2 linked regions of the Rhinolophus ferrumequinum genome follow. The protein of the gene in region 1 interacts with the protein of each later gene in a pairwise test. Links are inferred from orthologs where the notes say so. Each region holds a gene or a part of one and is shown on either strand. Other genes may lie near its edges.

The links.
Region 2: the proteins of MAP1A (region 1) and RHOB interact in a two-hybrid assay, tested with the Homo sapiens proteins (2 studies listed by BioGRID and IntAct). The link is inferred for Rhinolophus ferrumequinum from reciprocal best matches to the Homo sapiens genes MAP1A and RHOB.

What each region holds. Positions count from the first base shown.
Region 1 is NC_046289.1:62,309,781-62,317,900, reverse strand, and holds the start of MAP1A (microtubule-associated protein 1A), read left to right. Parts: upstream 1-4,912; 5' UTR 4,913-4,956; coding exon 4,957-5,194; intron 5,195-5,563; exon of another isoform or gene 5,564-5,697; intron 5,698-6,173; coding exon 6,174-6,275; intron 6,276-8,120. UniProt on the Homo sapiens protein: Structural protein involved in the filamentous cross-bridging between microtubules and other skeletal elements.
Region 2 is NC_046296.1:58,503,514-58,511,251, forward strand, and holds RHOB (rho-related GTP-binding protein RhoB), read right to left. Parts: upstream 3,249-7,738; 5' UTR 2,859-3,248; coding exon 2,268-2,858; 3' UTR 850-2,267; downstream 1-849. UniProt on the Homo sapiens protein: Mediates apoptosis in neoplastically transformed cells after DNA damage. Not essential for development but affects cell adhesion and growth factor signaling in transformed cells. Plays a negative role in tumorigenesis as deletion causes tumor formation.

The sequences.
Region 1 (8,120 bases):
GATGGAACCTTATTTCACAAATATAGTAAGTCATAAAGGTAAAGGTAAATAAACCCCTAGAAGAGAATTGAAGGGTACAAAGCATTCAAGGAAAAGGACCGCCTGAACAGAAAGCACAAAAATGACTGAAGGAAAGTAAGTGGCTCAGTTTGACTAGATGAAAGAGTTAATTCAAGATATTTGCAGGAGGTAATGTTAAAAAGGGAAGTTAGGGCATATTATGAAGGATCTTCAAGAAAGAACTGATGAGAGAGAAGAGAAAAAGTGTTCGTGATTTAGTGATACTATAAAGGGAACAATATTTCTTCAACCTAAGAATTCCTTGAAGGAAAATAACTATTCTATGAATACCTTGAAAAAAAATAATGCAAAATTTAATTCACAGATAGGCATGGCTTCAAAACTAAGTTATACACCTAGATTTAGATTCTCTTTACCACCATCATCTTCACCACAAAAAAATCCTTAGAGATCCCTGCATTAAGATGTAGCTTTGTTCAGAATAAAGGAAAAGGTGGAATCGGAGGCCATAGCCAAACACTAACTTCAATCTCACAGGCAAATGGAACAGACAACGGAAAAGGTATCCATAAAAGTTTTTTTCACTTTTGGGAATTATTTTAAAAAGAAGAATGTGGGGATGGAGGGAGGATGAAAAGGAAATTTCCTCACTGTCCTTTGCAATGCTCTGTATGTGGGGGGAGTAGAACGGGGTGGGGAGGACAGGGGTGGTGGTAAACCCAGTGCCTTTGTTCTTATTACTTAATGTGAACAAATAATAATTAAGAAAATTATCCAACAAATGTTTATTGTAGGCCTCCTCTGTGTACCAGACATAGTAATAAATGCAGACTTCTCTCCTCTTTCGACATTTTTGGAGATTATTTTACTCAGTGCCTTTTTAGAGGTTATTTTACTCAGTGCCTTTTTAGAGGTTATTTTACTCAGTGCCTTTGCAGATAAACCAGCTGTTCCAGCTAAGAGGTGACCCTATGGCTGCTGGTATGCATTATGATCACAGCATTTTCCCCAAAAGCCAAGGATAAGCCTCTGACACAGCAATCCTGAAATCCAACACTCCTCTCTCTATGTAAAGAACGCTTAATAGGCAGAACTGAGTACAGGGTGGGAATTTGAGCCCCTTTTGGATCATGCAGCCCCTTTTGGATATTTTGACTGATAAGACCATGCAATCCAGCAAAGCAGGCTGGAATTATGCCAAACAGCTCAGATTCCCAGAAAAACTAATGATATTCATCAGTCTAGAAGTAAGGGAGGAGCCAGTATCTTCTCTTTACGAATTATCAAAGCTGACTTAAGTCCTACGGAGACCCTAAGCATTGAAAGGATTATGGTGCCCTCCTCTTCCACACACACAGAATTCAAGATGAGTATAATTAATTTCAATAAATTTCTGATTTTTGTCATGAGGACAACTTCAATAATTTAATTAAATGCCAAATATGAAATTATTTCCAGAAAAAAATTTAGAGATGCCCCTCATACTTTGCGGTATGTCCTTACCTTAGCTTCACCTGTACAATAGCAATTCCATCCTTGTATGCACAACAACGTAATCACCACAGTCAGTCTAGGTACCATCCATCACTATACAATTGACTTTCTTCATTTATTTCTCCTCCCCCCAACCTCCTTCCCCTCTGATAACCACCAAAATACTCTCTGTATCTAGAGGTTTTGTTTTCTTTTTTTATATTCCACATGTAAGTGAAATTATACAGTACTTGTCTGTCTCTGTCTGACTTATTTCACTTAGCATAATACCCTCAAGGTCTATCCATGTTGTTGTAAATCATGGCAAGATTTCCATCTTTTTAGTAGCTGAGTAGTATTCCATTCCTGTGTGTGTGTGTGTGTGTGTGTGTGTGTGTTTGACATCTTTTTCTATCCATTCATTTATTGATAGACACCTAGGTTGTTTCCATATCTTGGCTATTGTAAAGAATGCTGCAATGAACATAGGGATGCACGTTATCTTTTCGAATTAGTGTTTTCATTTTCTTCAGATTAAAAACCCAGAAGTGGAATAACTGAATCATACAGTAGTTCTATTTTTAATTTTTTGAGGAACCTCCATACTGTTTCCCATAGTGGCTGCACCAATTTACAGTCCCACCAACAGTGTACCAGTGTTCTCTTTTCTCCATACCCACTTGTTATTTCCCCCTCTTACTTTACTAGGCACGTGCATAATTTACCTACTGGGTAATTTATCCCTGTATATTATGAACTGATGAAGGCCTGGGGGCTGCGAATCACCCAACTAGCTTAAACTTAGCCAAGGTTATAATTACCTTTCACACCATTTGAGATTTACACTCCCTTCTGCCTGGTGCTCACTCCAGTGCAAACCCAAGTAAAGAGCCTGTAATAGTGCCTTCCTTTTGCACCTCCTCTAACCTCATCTTTTAGTGGTGGTTCCTTAGAGATCCCTTCCACTGTTCAAGGTCTTTCATCACAAATAGTTTGAAAAGCATTGGTTATAACCACTATATCTGTCAATGTTGCATGACAAGAGTATGGAAGAAACTATAAAATAGGAGAGTTCCCAAAAGATCATACCTTGTCGGTCCAAGGGGTCAACAGTCAAGTGAAACACCACAGTGGGCTCTATAACCACTAAGCACTACTGCATACGCCTCACAGTCATGCATATCCCCAATAATCCCCTTAGATAAATCCTTGAATGACATCCTTTTACTAGCAGGCTCCTGCCACAGCACACTAATCCTAAACACAAAATAGGTTTTACATACTTTGCAATTCATATGCAAAGTATATAGTCTTTCTATGCCTGTACACATGTGCATCAGTGTTTTCTGGCTTCAGTTGTAAGATTCTGGAGCATAGATGCTAACACTCCAGTTTTCTCTATAGAGCAGTTTGTGTAGTGCTGTGTGCCCTTTGACACTTGAAAATATTTTCCGATAACATGATGATAATACTGGATCATCACCCAATGGCTAGAAAGAGTAGGATAATTAAGACATACCTATAGCCAATTTTTCTATTATGTTGTCTGCCTTTGGCGAAAAAGAACCTGCTAAATACTCATCCAGCATACGTATGCAATTTTAGTACTGACATAGTTTGCATTTGCAACTTTAATTATTAAAACCCAATTCTAGCAGGGCCTGAGATCATAGGCCTGACTTTCTGCCCCTACCATCTGATCAGTGTGTGGTCCCTTCCCTATACCATTCAAATCTATTGTCTAATCTCTTTGTCAGACTTGATGAAAGCAGAGCCCGTGGGTAACTGCTGCTGACCCTTATACTGAAGCCCTGTGCTAGTTAAAGGCCTCATCTCTACAGTTGTTATGGAAACTGTTCCCTTTCTCTCCCAACAACCTATTCTGGCTTTCTGCCTCCACATGGCACTCTTTTCTGATTGCAGAAGAGGAGGTCTACACCTCTCCATGCCTTTTGCCATATTCGAAACTGCAAATGGTGGGGTGGAGTACATGTAGTAGAACGCTGTCTCACGTATCATATAGGGTGAGGCATTCCCCGCCATCTGATATTCTGCCAGTGCTCTTATTTTTCCCTCTCTGCTACAAAAAAGGATTTTCAAGGCTATGTCCAGTTTTTCTGAGCTATAACTGACATAGTATGCTATATTAGTTTCAGGTTATCAAACCCAAATTGATTACAGAATTTTCTGGCTATTTTGCTACAACAAATGCTCCATGATAGGGACCAGGATTGCCGTGAGGTACTTCACATGCACTGTCCAATCCTCCTCAGGGTGTCCAGAGAGGGAGTGGATCAAAATTTGGCTCACAGGCAGCTTTGCTGAATCTAGTACTGTGCTGCCTTTTACCCTGTACCGTCCCCAAAGTGTAAGGCAAATGGGACCAAGAAAGTGCTGCTGGAGCCCTAGGGTGAAAGCTCTCTGTGTGACACATACATGTACAGAATGATTTGATGGTTAAAAGAACTGGGGTGCAGAGTAGGTGGTGGGCACACGTTGAGGAATGGGCAAACATAGGCTAACAGCACACACCATTTTTACAAGTATGTTCCAAATCAGTCATAAAACATGGCAGCCTCTTTAGTCCTCTTTCCATCCCCTGGTTCTTTGGTTTGGAAGGATCAACCTTTTCTTTGGTTCACACGTTTCCCCTTCGGTTTTGAGAATTCCCCGGGGGAAATAATATCACAGTCTCCCAAGGTTACTCAATTCACTGTCACATTACCTGTAGTTGGGAAAGTCTTTCCTGGGTTTTACTCATATCCCCCTTGCTGCAGTCTGAGCTCATTGCACTCTTGAGTCCTGCACTCAGCAGAGATGGAGACTAGCCAACCACTATCTTCGGAATAACAACTCACCGGGGACTCAGGGCCGGAAGGTCATTCTGTCCCTTCAATACAGCGCAGCCTTCCAGAGCACTCCCAGGGCCTGGGGCAATGAGGACAGGGAAACCGAGGATGGAATCTAAGGCCCTGGCAGGCAGTGACAAAAAAAAAACAAAACTCCAGACAACGATAATACAGACACACCGACACAGATGGAGACACGATTCAAAACGGAGACAGAGGGACAAGATGGCTTCCTCAGTTCGGACGAGGCTGCAGAATTGCCAGACAGTACTCATAGGGGAAACATCCTAACTAGGAGCTTCTTCCGTCTCCGAGGCAATCGACTCATTCTTCCACCCAGTCCCTCAGAATCCTCACCCCTGCCCAAGTCGGAGTGGGAGCTCCCTCTGGAGAACGAGTGGGGGTGAAGGGGGCGACCATCACCACCTCCGCCCCCGGGCTAAGCGAGACTGCATAGTCGAGGTGTCCCTGCCCCGGCCCGGCCCCTGCGGCGCCAGTGCTCCGCCTCCTGACAGGCAGCAGCCAATGAGCGGCTCCTGCCTCCGGCCCTTAAGAACCCAGCGCGCTCTCCCTGCAGCGGACGCGGCCAGCCTAGCACTCCAACGGAGTTTCCATGGAGACCGAGGCTGGGCCCGGGCAGCCTCGCGGCGTTACCATGGAGACAAGTCCCGGGCTGGGCCTCCGAGGCCCTGGCTCACCGCTGTCTCACCACCCGGCGGATCCGCTGTGCGAGACCGGAGCCGCGGTGGCGGCGGCACGCTGGGACCTGCGGAAACACTCTTTGCTCATCGTGATCGGTGATATCGGTACAGAGAGTCAGCTGAGGGCCGTGCGGGCCCACCTTGAACAAGGTGAGCCGCTGTCCTGGCTGTGCTCGGGACATCCTCCATCCCGAGCTTCTCCGCCATCTGCATTTACCTCCCAGAGCTTACGTCTGCATTCTCCATCCCTAGTGTGCACTTGCTGAGATCTACGCGCCCTGTTAATCTGAGTCATCAGTCCATCACCTGCATCTTCCATGTCACGCGTCCATATCATCCCGAGCTCCCAACATCTCGCTTCCCATCCTTTCCGCACACCCCATGGCGCTCCGCAATCTCCCTGAAGCGGGGGAGCTCTGTGCAGCCCCTAGAGCCCCTCTGGTCACACCCTCTGTCCCAGTGTCTCGGGCCAGATGTCCAAAAAGTCCTCATCTTCCCCTGAAGAGTCCTTATCCCTACCTTAGTTTCTTCTTTAGGATCCCTTAACAGGCACAGGGTGCTTTCTGAACGCTGCGGACAAATCTCAAAGCTCTCAGTGTTGGCGGCCAACCTGAGAGAGTGACCTTTGTGGCCAGAAGCTCCTCAGTCCTCACGTCCCTCCCCAATTAATTGCCTGCCAGTGGCGCAGTGCTGCGGAGCCACCTGCGGGTGGGAAGCAAGCCGCGGAGGGGTGAAGGCAAGGAGGGGGGCATAGGAGAGTCTAGAATCCTACTTAGCTGTAAGGACCCTGGAAGGCAACCCCCAGTATCTGGGAATAGGCCCTTGGGTGTCACTTCTATTACGATTGGGTGGCTGCAAGAAAACTCCTACATATAAACTCACTAATAACCAAGTTTAGCCTAAACTCTGCCCTTCTTCTTCTGGCTCGGGCAAAGCCCAAGAAAGGCACAGGATGGGAGATGGACATAGGTACTAACAACCTCTATTAAAGAGATCAGTGAAGCTGATCATGACAGCTGTCCTTATCCCCTCCCTCTCCTTACCCTTCTTGTGAGCTTGGCCGTTGTTCCCTGAAGTCCAATCCTTCTGACCTTATTTAGAGCCCTCTTTGTTTCTTTTTCTCTCACAGGGATTCTCTCCTGGAACATTGACTTATCATCCTTTGACTTGAACCAACAATTGAGACTCTTCATTACGAGGCACCTAGCTCACTTCTCCTCAGAGGTCAAAGGTTAGGACTAGTGTCATTTGTCTCAATCATTTGGGTGAGGGTTGGTCACAGAAGAGATTAGGCTGGGGAGAAGGGAGGGACTCTTCAGGAAAGTCATAAAGCTCCATAGCTATGCCCACATACCCAATGCACTGTGAAGACAGATGGTATGATGGTAGAGAGAGCCCGGAGAATGTAATTTCTAACTGAGAAGAGGGTGGTCTATGGACAGCTGTTGACAAGTACTAAGGAAACAAGGTACTTGTCTTGAGTGATCGATCAATCACTCCCATGCAAAAATCCACTCTTTTTTTGTGATCCCCTTTCTGTGTCCCCCAGCCTCCTTGCTTCCCTTTACAAAGATCCTTGAATCCCCCACTCACCTTTCCAGATCCTTCCTTAGAACTTTTCCTCAGACTGCACAGCCCACTCTCCAGGTTTCAGGGTTTCTGGTCCCTCCTTTGGACCAGCCAACAGATCACCAGAGCAGAGCAGAAATCTGGTGCCAAAGGCTGGTGAGCACTGTCAAATCCAGGGTGGAAGCAGGGACTCCTGGCTTTACTGCTACAAGAGCTAGTCACACTCTGAGATTTGACTCTGAGATCCGAGTTCACAGGATGCAGTTTCCCATTGTGCTGGGTGGGAGAAATGGGTCAGGGATTTGAGTAAATAATATTTTAGGAGCTGTCATTCCATGACAAGTATCTGTGGGGAGACTGAAGAAAGCCTCACATCCCATTGTAGAAGTGCTGGGCATTCTGGTCATGTTGTTGGTGAATGTTGACACACCAATCCATGTGTCAGTGCCTTTATGGAATATGAAATCCATCCAACTGAACAGTTACTGCATCAAAGGACTGAATTCATATCTTATACAGATAATTCCATTATTTAGTATAGTAGATAGTCACCTCCCCTTCTCTTCCCGCTCCTTCTGCTAACTGCCACATCTTCAGTCATTTCCCTGATCACTGGCTCCCGAAGAGAGAAGACAAGTTGAATATGACTAATGCTTCATTATCCTAGGAATATGTGCAGCATTTAAAAAATGTGAGGCTGGCATCTTCTTGATGTGACTGGCTTCTTGTGAAGCTAGCCACTCACTGTTTTGAGACTGGCTTCTGTTAAGAATTACTCATGTCATGACTTCCTCCATTATCACTGATGATTGAAAATCCATAGTTTTACCCCTTATTACTCCTCGGAGCTTTGGTACAAGGGTGGATAAGGGGATGACGGCAGACGAAATTAATGACCACATTGAAGTTGGGGGAGTATCTGATGATGTTAATTCACACTGAATTCTCTAACCTTGTCCTTTTGGCCACAGAGATTTAAGATTAGGCTGCTTTCTGGAATGATGTATGAATGAACAGACTTAAACCAAAATACTTAACCATTCTTCAAATTAAGATCTAGGGATGCTTGGGAAGACGCTTATAGGGAGATGCATAGTTACTCTCAGGGACCTCTCAGAAACAAGCACTGATATATAATAAACACCTGCTAGATCTTTTCAAAGAGTTATGCCATGGTGTCCTCAAGGGGCTTAGGGCAATATACCCAAGATCAGGGCTTACTTTAGCCTATTGAATTTTTTTTTTTTTTTTTTTTTGGTTTGGACATTTTTATGGTGGCCTGACTATCTCCCTGGAGAATAGTGGAGAATTTCCTGGAAAAACCCACAAGGCTCAAGACAGCCACTGCCCCACCCCTGCTGGCTCGTCTTTCAGCTGTCCCCACAAACAACAGTCAGTCCAGAGCAGCTGCAGACACTGTCCCTCCTTTCAGCCTCCATTTAATGGGGAGGCAAAGGGAACCAAGCTGCTGGGATGGGCTCAAGGGGATGTGCTAGTACCTTATGAC
Region 2 (7,738 bases), on another chromosome or scaffold:
TTCTTAGGCAGCTGGGAGAGGTTGGCACTATCAAGTTACCTTCCCTAGAAGCTGCTGAAAGCTGGCAGATCTGAGCTATCATGGCCATAGGATTTTCATGTGGTCTCCAAGTATAAACTGCCTGTCTGGTTCTGAGACCCCCTGCAGCAGGCTAAATGTCTGAAATTAGAGCTCATCAAGGATTAAATCTCAAAATGTGGCTGCTCCGACTTTAAATAACAGCCCTCCAAAGCATCGTGTTCTACCCATCACGTGGCCTTTCTCAGTACTTAGAATAAAGCATTCTAGGTTCCCCAGAGATACACATTTACGTAAAGTTCAGCAATAGGAGAATCAACTCCTGATTCGGCCTTTACCCAGGAGCTCCAGCCCCAAAGATAACTTACAATTTCATGGGGTACAGTGTTGACCCTTGAGGAGCTGAAGGGAACCCAGTAACCAGCCTTCCAGACAGATAGCGTGACCCCACACCGGTGATTAACAGAAAAAATGTTATCTAAATTTAAATTGCACAAATGACAATTTTAACTTTCAAAGAATAGGGAGCAAAGGCCCCATAAGAGACACAAGTGTCTTTAGGACACAGAGACAGTACACATGAGGTCAAAAGTTTTGATACTGGGTGCCTAAGTACCACCCATAGTCTTCCTCTGGGCCTGGGATAGGAGCAACCCGGTCTCCCATGGCCACCCAACCCCCACACGTCCCCCAAAGAATTTCATCCTCATTTACAACAAACACTATTAGAGAGTTGGTGGCTAGAAAAAAACCTTGCCTAGCTGAATTCGCCTCTTGCCCCAAATTCATTAAGATATTTTTGTATACTATTAAACCACAGGAGCCATTTTATAAATGTCATCATCATAGTCTTTTAATATTTTACATAAAAAACTGTATACACAGCTTATAGAACTTTTATGTAAACATCATAAGCTCACCACTTTGTCATTTGTCAGTTTATTTAAAAAATAAAAAACAAGACAACAATTTAGTAGAAGTACCACTGGGTGGGGAAGGGGGGAGGAAGGAGACTAGGGGCAGGTTCATTCTCTGTACAGAGATGCAGAGAAAATTTCACATAGTTTTAGAGACTGTCTTGTGAAAAAAAGGGAGGGGGGAGGGTTAGGTAGGCCCCAATACTTGTTACTGCTGTTTATCAAAATAGTGTGCAGACCTGCACAAAAAAAATAACTAAACAGTGTTGCCACTTTTTTCAAGAAAACAAAACAAAAATTAGTGGTTTCTTTTTCCTTTTTTTTAAGTCATCACTTTTCTTTAAAACATCAGAAGTAGATGAGGTTACAGCGTACAAGTGTGGTCAGAATGCTACTGTCTTATGCAAATGACAAGTGCATTAAGTGTCAAACAATGAAATAATTGTGCAAAGAATTCTTTCAAAATAAAACCCAACAAAATTTAGCCTTTAAATAAATCAAATAACATCAGTTTCTTGGACTAAACAATTTTCACTTGTAGGACAGGCACAAAGTTCGCTTATGGCAAAAACAACCTGCAGCACACTCTCCCTCCTGCTGCCCAGGGCTGGTGGCTGGTGAGGTGTTCACTGGGGCTGGCCCGCAGGAGACGTGAGTCTGGAAGCTGTGTCCTCTCAGCCCCAAGTCAGTTGCAAATGTCTTCCCCAGGGGTTGGAAAGACGACCAAGTCCAGTTCATGCTTGGATGGGCGCCTGAATCAGGCTGGGCTGGAGCTGTTCTAGCGCCCTGTCACTCCACCCACCACCACCATTAAATAACACCATCCTACCTCCGAAAATAAAATTATATCTATATTTATATAACACCCCGTCCTCCCCAACCCTCCCCTCCCGCAGTTCCCGTGGTCTATGTTACACACAAGAGATAGCAGGCGTTCACTGGTTATGGGCGAACGTATGATGGGGCTCGGCCGGACCCCGGCGCCAAGCTCCTCTCCAGGGACCAGAGGCGGGGGCGGAGTGGTACGGGAAGGGGGAAGTCGGAAGATACACACAGCCACACACTCGAAAGAGGCTTGGCTCTTCAGACAAGGGTGCTCAGGGGACCCTTGGCACTCAGCGGTGCGCCTGAATCTGTGCAACATAGCTGGACGCACACAGACACTGGAAAGGGGGTGCCCAGTGCCTCCCATGCCGATTCCCGGCGCCAGGGCCACAGCCTCCACGCCACGGCTGCCGGGCGGGAAGGCAGACACCAGACAGTCCGGTGGGATCATTGAGGGAACCGGCCCGGGAGGGGGGCCGCGCTGGCAGGGGCGGGCGGGCGCGGCCCTCATAGCACCTTGCAGCAGTTGATGCAGCCGTTCTGGGAGCCGTAGCGCTTCTGTAGCGCGGCGCGCGTGGCCGTCTCGAAGACCTCACGCACGCCCTCCTTGGTCTTGGCGGAGCACTCGAGGTAGTCGTAGGCTTGGATGCGCACGGCCATGGCGCGGCCGTCATCCGTGCGCACGGGTTCCTGCTTCATGCGGGCCAGCTCTGTGCGGACGTGCTCGTCACTGCGCAGATCTTTCTTGTTGGCCACTAGAATGATGGGCACGTTAGGGCAGAAGTGCTTCACCTCGGGCACCCACTTCTCGGGGATGTTCTCCAGCGAATCCGGGCTGTCCACCGAGAAGCACATGAGGATCACATCGGTGTCCGGGTAGGAGAGCGGCCGCAGGCGGTCGTAGTCCTCCTGACCCGCTGTATCCCACAGCGCCAGCTCCACCTGCTTGCCGTCCACCTCGATGTCGGCCACATAGTTCTCGAAGACGGTGGGCACGTAAACCTCGGGGAATTCGTCCTTACTGAACACGATCAGCAGGCACGTCTTGCCGCAGGCGCCATCGCCCACCACCACCAGCTTCTTGCGGATGGCCGCCATGAGCGGGCCGGGCCCGGGCAGCAGGAGGGGGCCCGCGAACGCCTCGCTGCCGTCCCGCTCGCCGCTCACCTCGGGCTGCGCGCTGGGGGCAAGGGTCGCTAGCTGCACCCAGGCCCCGCGGTGGCGCGTCCTCTCGGTGCGCTCCGGCTGCCGCGGCGGGGGCGGTGGGGGCGCGGGGGCATAGGGCGCACCGTGAGTCTCCGCGCTGCTCCCGGGCGGTGGCCTCTCTTCTCGCCCCACACCCGGGGTCAGCGCCTTTGTGCACAAACGCTCCTTGTGGCTGGAGCGGCGGCCCGACCTGAACTCCCTCCTGGGTCTCCCTAGGCCTCTCCAAGAGTACAGGAGAGCACAGGACTCCGGCCAGACTGCGGTGGCAGATGCAGGCTGCGGCCCTAGCGCCCGCTATTTAAAGAGTTCGGCCACTTTCTTAATATAGCTGTCCAATGGGAAGCGAGCCGACTGAGCTCATCGCTGCGGAGCTTGGCTCTGATTGGCGGTTCACTGCAGCCCAGGGGCGGAGCCTAACCAACTTGATTGACGGCCCAGGCCGCGGGGCTGGGAGAGGCGGCGATTGGGGAGTCTGCGCCCGGGCTGGCGCTGCCGGGCTCTGGTGACACCAGGGTTCCCTTCTTCTTCGCAGCTTTTCCGCGCCTTGCCAAGCCCCCAGAGCTGGCTACCTGGAGCCCACAGAGCCTGGGGGAGCGGTGCCGAGAGGGGCAGCACTTTGTGGGGCGTTGGCGACTCCCTCCCACTCAAAATTGCCCCGCTTCCTTGCAAACTCCCAGCGGGTGGTCTGACCTGTGAGGGAGGGGGCGCCTCTTTTAACGTGGTTTTGTTTTTAAATACACACACACACACACACACGTTTGTTTCCAACCAAGGTTTTTTTTCCAACCAAGGTTTTTTTTCCTTTTCTTTTACAAGCGGCCCCTCCCTAGTCTAGTCTGCCACCTCACCCTCCTCGCCCCAGTACTCACCCTGGAGCAGCCCTAGGTTTGGACACAGTGAAAGAGAGAGACTACTGTGAGCAGGGTGGACCTGGGCCGAGCCTCGAGGCTCTTCCAAGTCCTACCGCCTACTCCTTGCCCTGCCCCCAGCTTGAGTCTCTAGGTGAAAATTAGGGGAAGGAGGACCAGTGAAAAGGGAAGGACAAGGCTGGTTGCAGAACTTCGCGTCCACTTGAAGGAAGTTACCACACAGAAAAAGATAGCCTCGGCCCTGGTTTGCATGATTAATTCGGATGCTGGTCGTCTGAAGTAGACAGTACAATAGAATTTAATCACCTCACACCCCATTGGGCAAGAAGAGGGTGAGGCCCGAGGAGGAGTGTGGGAGGAGAAATTTGAAGGCAGGGGGACACAGCAAATTAATGTCTGGTGAGGTGCTACGTCCCTAGCCTCCTGCTACACACCAAGACTTAATTCATCCATCCCACTGATCCTGCAGAAGATGACACCTACATCTGATCTAAGTCAACGGATTTCAAAGGACAGAAGAGGTGGGAAGTGGGGAGGGGAAGTAGGGAGGGCCTCCCAGGAAGGAGGAACAGCATGAACAAAAGCAGAGAGGTGGGAAAGAATAGTATAAACTCTAAGAACCATGAATAGCTTAGTGTAGCTGCACTTGATGGAAAAAGCTGAAACTCAGGTTAGGGCCTAGATAGAGTACCATTTGAGCAGGTTGGGCTATCTCCATTGTAGAGGCTGGGGGATGCTTATTGGTTTTTCTGCAAAGGAGAGACCAACCACGGCATGATGAGGTTATTGCCTCATATTTCTGCCTCCCTCTCTAAGAATGAAGCTGTTGGAGGGCCAGGATTCTGTCTTATCTCAGCATCTTGAAGATGTAGCACAATGTCTGACCCACTATGCAGGAATCAGTAAATGACTGTGGAAAATTCACCTAAATGCTCAGGAACTCAGCTGAAACTTTCTGGGGGTCTCCTACCTCAAACTCCAGACTCCATCCAACCAAACCCATGCAACCAGCTGTAACTGAGTCCTGATGTTTTAACCTTGGATTCATAAATTGAGAGCTAGGTCTCTATAGACACAATAGCTATACTAAGGTCAAATAAGACATTAGTGCCGCTAACCCCTAGAGCCCATCCTATAGAGAATATCTAATCCAAAGGACCAAAAGTGTTACCTTCACTCTGGATTAGCAACATACAATGCCCAGCTTTTTTGTTTTGTTTTGCCTCTGGTTTTCAGATCTAAGGAACTGAACTGTCAGCAAGTAAATAATTTTTCCACAGTGGGTCCCACAGGAGAAAGTAAGTTTTTTGGTTTAAGGCTCCAATCTGGAAATGTTTTCTTTTTCCTTTTTAAGTTAATGTATTAGAAAACTCTTATCTGAATTTTCCTTCTTTCAGTCAAAACCTTGTATATCTGTATAGTTAACACTATACTGTTTTCCTTGGTCTTAATATAGCTTGGGAACCTTGGCTATGTCCTTAAGCTTCAAATATTGTTAAAAATTAAACAATTAAAAGTTTGTGCCATGTATTTTTTAAAAAACTGAAATACAAAGAACCAGGAAGAGGGATTTAATTCACTCGTTTCCTGATTCTCAGACATATTATATGAGGTGTTCCAAGCTTAAATCCCAATATCTAAATAATTTCTAAAAATATTCGTTTGGTAAATATGCCAAAGTAAACAAATAGGAAAATCCATGTTCTGCAGCAACTTCTTTCTGTGGTATTCATTTTTTTTTTTTTTTTTTTGGTCCAATAAAAGCTCAGTGGAGACTGGCTGTTTCAAAGACTGCTCCACTCACAGGATAAACTTTTCCAAACTAGGTGATGTGCCAGACAGTCTCCTCCCTGCCTCCCCTTTCTCTTCACAGTATACTCTCACTGAAAGGAGAAAACTGTCTATGAGAACAAATCATTTTAATAATTAACTATTGACATATAGATTCATTGTATGACAGATACCCACACCAGTGAAAGAGGAAAATTATCCTTCAGACAAACGGAGGATGTTCATCTCCCTCCAGTCTTCAGCTTAATTTACTGAATCTTTACTTTGTCGGGTGTCTCCTACAGATCTGTAAATCACCCCCAACTCCTCCCAGAGATCAGAGACTGGAATGTTCATTGGATTTTAGCACCACCTTGTGGCAATCTTTACAGGTTTTGTTCCTCTAAAAAAGTACACATGCTATATGATTACAATAAACCTAATCTAGCCAAAGAGCATGCATTTCATGACTGTCTTGATTTTGAGATCTTTCATGGAATGTAAAACCCTAAAGAATGTTTTAAAAAATTCTTTCGAAATCCTTCGCATATATGTTTATACACACACATAACTCTTTTCATATGTATACACTTTAAAATAACAAATTATTTCCTAGTTAAATAGTAACTTATAAAAGAGATGATAAGAAAGAGATAAAGGGTATAGAATCTCAATAGTACAGATAAGAATGGACTTCATTTTTCTGTAATTGTACAGAAATTGTACAAAAACCACCTGCTCTTTTGCCATAGTTAAGAAATCCATTATTAAATTAAGTAGTCAGTTAGTTAATTAAGAATTTAAAAAGAGAAAGCCATTATTGGATATTCTGGTATAAGTGGAAGTAATCCTAATTCATTTACCAATAAGCATTTACTAAGAGCTATTCCTGACAGCCGTTTGATTTTTTATTTTTTTTCTAATTTAAGGAGTAGCCAAAGTCTCTAAGAAAATTGTCAACCTTCCATCTCAATACAATGAGTTTTAAAAAGGGACAGGTTCTTGTAGAACTAGCCATACTATTTCTGGTGGAAAAACTGAGGCGGTCCCATGAGGTCAATTTGGGACCCATTCAGCCATGAGTTACACAACTGAGCAGTTATGCTGCTTTCTGGGGTCTCCAGCAATGAGCAACAGCAGGTAAAATATCCCTCTCCTGCCCTGAGATTGTGACCCAGTGTGACCCAGGCTTAAGACAAAGAAGGCTGGGCTCACAGGAAAACCACCATAGCTAGACAAACTTCAGAATGTGGCCAATGAACTCTCATCAGACCGTCTGTCTGTCCAGCCCAGGGCCAGGCTAAGGGGCACAGGCAGTGGGCAGGGGGCAGGTCGTGATGGCTCTGAAACTGCACTGTCCTATCCAGTAACCACGAGCCATGTGTGGCTGTTGGGCACTTGAAATGCTGCTGGTGTCTCTGAAGAACTAAGTTTTTAATGTTATGTAATTATAATTAAATTTAAATAACTTAAAAGCTTCCGGGTGGGGGAAGTGAGGAAATATTAGTCAAAAAGTATAAACTTCCATTTGTAAGATGAATAAGTTCTGAGAATCTAATGTACTGTATGGTGGTTGTAATTAATAATATTGTATTATATGCTTGAAAGTTGCTAAGAAAGTAGATCTTAAATGTTCTCACCACAAAAAAGAAATGGTAATTATGTGACATAATAGAGGTGTTAGTTAATGTATGGTGGTAATCTTATACAATGTCGTCAATTATATATCAATAAATCTGGGGGGAGGAGAATTAAATGAATACTGATGTGCACCACCAAAAAGTAAATAAAAACTGATATTTGATTCAGTTATTGGGAAATTTTTATGTAGGTTTGAAACAACTTGGTTAAGCGAATCTACTTTTTCCTACTGGAAAGCTTATGAAATCTAAATAGATCGAGTATTTTAGAGGAAAATTTAGTGTCCAAATTGAGATGTGCTGTAACTATAAAATAATCTGAATACTTAGATGGAAAAACATGTAAAATACTTCATTAATAATTTTGATATTAATTCCGTGTTGACCTGACAATATTTTTAGGTATAGTAGATAAATATTTAAATATATGAGATTTAGTAGGTTGGATACATTTGATGATAAAATTCAAATTAATTCATATTCTTTAATGTGA